Yarrowia lipolytica: one gene and its partner. The protein of the gene in region 1 interacts with the protein of each later gene in a biochemical or structural test. Links are inferred from orthologs where the notes say so. Each region holds a gene or a part of one and is shown on either strand. Other genes may lie near its edges.

Region 1 (3,123 bases):
AGCTCAACAAGACTTTTGAGTACGATATCGACAAGCCCGAGCTCTCCAACTCCACCACTTTCCCTCATATCACCTACCCTCCTCGAAAGCCCGACGACAAGTTGGACTGGATCTTTGAGTACTCCGCACGAGACGTCTATGATCCCGACCACAAGTGGCCCAAGTCTGCTCCCTTGAACGCCACCTTCTGGCACAATGCCATCCAGTACATTGTCAACAACAAGACTGGTCGAGAGGACTACCTGCGATACGAGTACCGAGAGAGCCCTTTTGTTCCTGACGGAAGCTCCCCCGAATACATCAAGAACATGTACTGCTACTTTTCCTCCGGTACTGTTCCTGCCGTATACGAGTGTCAGAAGCGACAGAACATTACCAAGGAGATTTGGATTTAGTTTCCAGGGGCTATGGAGGGAGAGCAAGAGAGGCTTGGATATATTTGCATGAGGGACATGGAGGAGAACTACTCCACAAGTACTTGTTGATTCTACCATAAACGGTAATTGACGTATTTTTTTTATCAATAACAATATATATATTTCCTTTTCAGTAATTATTTATAACCAATTGTATTACATGCGACGAGCTAAGGGGAGGGGAGATTGTCGAATGTGACTCATCTCCTTACTGCCATGGATTGTAGCTGTTATAGCAAGTCGTTGTAATCAAACGGTAAAGTTAAGAGAGACTTGGCGGCCTCTAAAAGTAGTCAACTGATGTGCTTGAACCGACTACTAGAACCCTTACTCTCGGCTGTCGTCTCATAGTCATTAAATACATGTTCCACCTTTATGCTCATGCCCGGTTCTCCTGGTCCGTCTCCAGCTTTACATCTCCATCATCATCCTTTTCGTCGGTTCGTGGTGGGGGTAGTTTGTCCTCTTCATCCAGAACACTGGGGTCCTCTGGGTACTGTCGCAGCCACTTCATCCTCGGGCCGCTGTAGCTCATCTCGTTGATGCGGAAGCCAAAGAGCTTGAGCTCGTATATGTTTTTACGCAGGGGAATGCAGTTGCGCTCGACCTCGGGGAACATCTTGAGGAAGAGTCCCACGAAGGAGGTGCCGAAAAAGGCTCCGTCGACGTTGAGGTATCGAGAGTTGGGCGGCACGTAGACGTCACAGCAGCACGGGCAGTAGAGCCGCACAGACTCGTATCCGGGCAGGTCGTGTCGGCCTGTGGGCAACAGGCGTGTTCCGTCGCAGTAGTATCGTGGGCAAGTGCCAAACTGGGCCTCGTCATATTTTTTGGCCATAATCTGCAGTCCCGTCTTGGTGAGTAGGAATCGAGCGTGTATGAGGCCATAGAGCAGTTCGGCCGAGTGTTCAAACATTGGGATGGATGGCACCTTGAGCGGGTCTTCGGGCTCGAGATCCAGAATCATCTCCAACGCCTCCTTGTAGTAGGGCACTAGGAACATGAGGCCGGTCAGGTTGAAGTCATCTTCGATGAAATCCTCAAACACCTCCACAAAGTAATCGTGGCCGGTCGACGAACAGTAATGCGAGATCCAGGTCTCGACCTCCTCGCTCTCGGAAGAAGGGTCTGTCATGTTGTATTCGAGTAGTTTGTCCTCCATATAAAACCCTCCGTGTTGGGGTGGCTGTAGAGTGAGGGGACGGCGGTCGTGGCAGATGGTAAAGAGCGTCGCAGTGTCCCTGTCGTGTGCAGTTTCTATGTCTGTCGGTTCCAGATGTCAACAAGTCAGGTAATGCCACCACAGATGATGGTGAACGGGTAAACGCGCGCTTTCGTCGAGCTTGGTGGTCCTGTTTAAATTTTCGAACCGCTGCTCCAACTCTCAGATACAAAGAACCTCCCAACCTCCAAGTCACAGAGAAAAATAGTGAACTCTAATGGGCGTAGTAAGCACACAACATTAGTGAGCCCTCACGACTGCATTCTCGATTCACATACACACAACAAACGACATGGACGAGGCGATCATTGTGGATGCCGAATTTGTGGCCCCCGTGGGGACCACTGCTGGCGAATTTGTGCCGATCGATCGAGCCCCTGCCGCTGGACTGCTCTTGCTAGTGGCGTTTGTGGTGCTCTACGCCAAGGTCATCAGCAAGCTGGGCAAGCCGGCCATTCAGGAATTTGTGAGTGCTTAAGGAGTGGGAGTGCCCCAAAAACTTGTCGCTAACTCAGTTGTGGGAAATCATTACGAGAATCGTACCATCCAAGCAGCTACGAAGAAGAAAAGAAGCTCAGTTGAGAGCAATTGAGGTGCATACCCAGAGATCAAATACCAGCTCACAGGACCAGTTTGCAAAATGGGCAAAGTTGGATCGAGAGTACGGAAAGCTCAAGGTGGAGATTGAAGACATCAACAACTCGCTGACGGCCTCTAAGGCCCGGTTCTTCACAATCATCTCGTCGGCCATCTTCCTGTCAACTACCGGAATGAAGATGTTCCTGCGAATCAAGCACAGAAAGGCAGCTATCTTCTGGCTCCCTAAAAACGCCTTTCCCTACCCAATTGAGTACATCCTATCCTTCTCTTCTGCTCCTCTTGGGTCTGTCAGCGTTAGTGCATGGCTGATGATCTGTGACGCTGCCATGGATCTGATTGTCACCATTTTTGTGGCTCTGGTTGTCGGAGTCATTGGCATGCTTCGCAGCAACAAGGTCAAGCCCAAGACGGCCTAATTAAAAGGTATACTGCTATAGTTCATTGTTATTGATAGATATGAGGGTGAGTGGATTATACCAGATCGATGGGTGTTGCCTCTTATTCACGAGCTCCAGTAAGCTACTGTGCAAGTACAGTACCTGTAGAAGCAGTTACTCCTATCGAAGTTGGAATAGCAGTGGATACTCGCGTTAAAAAAGTGCAATACTTTTGTAGTACCCGTAGACGTAGAAGTCAAGACATACTAGAGCTATACTGTAGTTTCTGCACGTGATCTGAACCGAGGTCGTCATTGTGTTCTATAACTCACCCAGACATCTCTTGTCACAAGACTCTTTGTACCAGTACATTGTGAGCTCGTATCTCGCATCTCGCATCTCGCATTAAAATAATACAGTCGAGATTGGTGTGGGCTTTGTGCTTCTGGTGTACACAAGTACCGCAGGTCTTGAGATATTATGCCGCTGTACCTGTTCTAGGCAGTGT
Region 2 (3,492 bases), about 1.2 Mb from region 1:
TGATCGCATATACAAGACACCGCTTGTTTGGTTTCCCTACAAGTACGATAGTGAGCGGCGCACCTGTTGAGGGACATGCTTGTGGAGAGTTGGTGTAGAGCCGGACCATTCTGCTGTATCGTAGCTGTCACGTCACAAGCTGAATAGATCACATATATACTCCGTTCATATCCCTACAAGTACAGTATTCTAATGACTGTAGCATTGGACATCCCGAAACTCGAGCCGCTCTCAATAACATCGCAACCCTATCATGACTGTCATATCAGGGATCGTGTACTGGATGAGTAAACATGCTCTAATGGAAAAAGAAAGCACCGAGAGAAAATGGCCCGACAAGAGTTGTCAGACAAGTTCCGGAGCAATTATTCGGACTTTGTACAAAAAATGAGTACTGTATTTGACAGCTGCACAATGTATGGGTACGTACTCGTACCCGTACATACTGTACTGTAGATACTAGTGATGCCATAAGAAGTCCTCGTCCAATTGTACGAGTATTAGACACTGCGGCTCATGCCCTTTCTTTGGGTACCCTTCCATTCCTACAGCAAGTCAGCATGCCCCCCTTCCACCCCATCCACATTTAATATACATTCTTTTCTTATACATGCACTGTTTGTTCGCCCTGTGAGTTCCGCCTTACTCAAGATCGGAAAACTCATCGTCCTCCTCCTTGGGCACGTGGTCGTCGTCACTAGCATAGCCTCCGTCCTTCTCAATGAACTCGTCATCCTTGTTCTTCTCCTGCTCCGCAACAGCCTCACAGGCGTCGATCCACTCGGAGTAGACATCGATAGGCGCAGACAGAGCGTTGATGCTGGCCTGGAACGACTGGCCACACACCTTGCACGATAGGCTGCCAATGCCCATTTTCTTGTCCATTGAACACACAACCGAGTCGTTGTGGTTGCAAAACAGGCATGCAAACTGGGTTGCCAGCGTTTGTTTCACCTTCTTGGCGGGGGCAGAGGAAGACTTTCGTTTTCCCTGTGTTAGCAGATGTCAAAAACGAGCGAGAGTAGGTGGAGTGGTCGCGGCACATCTGTTCATGAATCATACCAGACGTTAGATTCGACCTGATGAAAGAAGCATGTTGAGCGGCGAATCGAACAATGTAGCAAAACCAAAAAACCGTGACCAGACCACCATCTCGTGCCTGCTTGAAGCGGCGCCCAGATATTTCAGCGGCTGTGGATAACCCGAACGGAAAAGTCAGATGAGCACCACGATAAATACCAACACGGTTCAATGGGGCCTCAGGGTCAACCTCTCGGTGAGGCCATGTCGTCGTGCTTCACTACAGTCGCTGATGAGAAGCCGATAGTATCGAATCGACTTCATAGGAAGACACTCCTATGGGATGGTCGAACCGAACCAGCCGGAAGTACATCCTCGTTCGTGTCATGTCTCGAACCACCCTTGTAATGCGTCTCATGTATGTCATCGCGTAGAGTGATGTCTGAAGTCCCTCTATTGCCGATGATACCACATTCTGTAGTTGCTCTCAAACTAATCAGTCGTTTGTCCAAACCATATGTTTCTCTCCAGCACTCGTACTCACCATGATGTGTTTTTTTGTGTGTATGATAGAGACGCTCTGCAGAGCTTGGATTCTGCGATATTGTATCGAAACTCAAAGTCACGTGGTGCAACGTTGAGGGCAATCGCAATCGACCAGGAGGTGATCAAGACGGTGAATGAAGGTAGCTGGAGAGTAATGTGAGATATCAGGTGATCCGAAACGACCGTTTAATTTAGTCAGCAGAGTTTTAGATAAAAAAATCCGTTGTACTGTACAGTTTGTAGATTGTTGACATGTAGATTTCCTCACTTAGTCATAGTTGACGTTTACTTGGGACAAAGTTATAGTCAACTGAACTGGTCAAGTAGAGTCAACTATACTTAAACGTTTATTAAGTGAGTTCTTCAAAATTTTACCTCCAAATAGATCACACCGTCCCATTAAAAGACAAACACCGCCACAATACACACACAGAACGCCACCCAGACACTGTCGGCACATTCGTAACATTCGACACATTCGACACATTCCTCTACTCGATATGCCCTCCCAATGGTAGTCGGACTTCAGTCAGAGTAACGTTCAGTTGAACTATAGACGACAGGGAGTAGTGAGAACAGGACCACCATATCTAGACCAATAGGTGTCGGATCGACAAGCGAAAAAGTGGGTTTTATTTAGAACAAGTATATATGCGAATTAATGATCTCACAAATGCTATAATCCCAGTCAAAATCTTTGATAATACCTCAATTGGCTCTGCTCAAATCCACCCGCCAGTTTGAGTTTGAAAATCTGCAGCTCTTAAATTTTTTTAGGATTATGCCAAAATTATTTTGCCTGCGATCCACACCCAGACACCAGACTACACAACCCAACAATGGTCGCCAAATCCGCATCCAAGGGAACCCCCAAGGGCACTCCCGTCAAGTCCAAGGTAGCCACTCCCAAATCCGCTGCCAAGGGAACCCCCAAGGGAACCCCCAAGGGTACTCCTAAGGGCACTCCTAAGGGCACTCCTAAGAGCACCAAGTCAGCCAAGGCTGCTGTTGACACCCCTACCAAGGGCGATACTCCCTCAAAAGCCACTCCCACTAAACGACGATCCTCCGTGTCCACCGCCGAGACCTCGTCGTGCCCTCTCGCATCCTCCGACAACACAATCAACGCTGCCCAGGCCCTGCTGAAGTTCACCCAAAAGCAGGCCGAAGAGGACGCCAACAACCTGCTTGCCGACGACAACGAGGAGCAGTTTATCTACCTGGTCATCACCTCCAAGCGGTTTGTGTCTTCCGAGAAGGCCCAGGTCCCCACCTTGGTCCAGGTCCCCCACGGTCTGTGGACCAAGAGTGCAGAGCAGCCCTCCATCTGCCTGCTGTCCCAGAACCCTCAGAACTCGTACAAGCGAGCTCTCAAGGGCGCCACCACCCCCGCTCTGTCACGAGTGGTTGGAACACAGAAGCTGCGAGGCAAGTTCAAGCCCTACGAGGCCCGACGACAGCTGTTTGCTGCACACGACATCTTTGTGGTTGACGAGGACATCACCGAGGAGATGCCTTTCTGCCTGGGCAAGACCTTTTACAAGAATGGAGCCGTCAAGCTGCCTCTGCCCATCACCGTGCTGCACAAGAAGGAGGAAAAACAGACTCTGATCAAGTCCAAGGCCGAGAGAGTGGTCGAGACTGAAGACATTGATGTCGAGGCCACCCAGCAGGGCCTCTCCAACATCATGACCTCCACCTGGTACCTCAAGAGCCAGTCCAACCACACAAACGTGCGAGTGGCCACAACTCTGTTTACACCCAAGGAGATTGCCGCCAACGTTTACGCCGTGGTTGACCAGTTCACTGCCGATCTGCCCAACGGCTTTGATGGCGTGCGATCCGTCTACCTCAAGACCGGATCGTCTCCCGCATTGCCCATCTACTTGGCTGACAACCTGTACACTCAGGACGATGTGTTCAACG

The links.
Region 2: the proteins of YALI1_E24793g (region 1) and YALI1_E12711g form a complex in vitro, tested with the Saccharomyces cerevisiae proteins (2 studies listed by BioGRID). The link is inferred for Yarrowia lipolytica from reciprocal best matches to the Saccharomyces cerevisiae genes CKB1 and ELF1.

Annotation. Positions count from the first base shown.
Region 1 is NC_090774.1:2,477,755-2,480,877, forward strand, and holds YALI1_E24793g (uncharacterized protein), read right to left. Parts: upstream 1,579-3,123; coding exon 796-1,578; downstream 1-795. Other genes in the region: YALI1_E24762g (uncharacterized protein), read left to right, coding at 1-395; YALI1_E24797g (uncharacterized protein), read left to right, coding at 1,931-2,104, 2,154-2,654. UniProt on the Saccharomyces cerevisiae protein: Regulatory subunit of casein kinase II/CK2.
Region 2 is NC_090774.1:1,269,239-1,272,730, reverse strand, and holds YALI1_E12711g (uncharacterized protein), read right to left. Parts: upstream 1,568-3,492; coding exon 1,565-1,567; intron 991-1,564; coding exon 643-990; downstream 1-642. Other genes in the region: YALI1_E12703g (uncharacterized protein), read left to right, coding at 2,406-3,492. UniProt on the Saccharomyces cerevisiae protein: Transcription elongation factor implicated in the maintenance of proper chromatin structure in actively transcribed regions.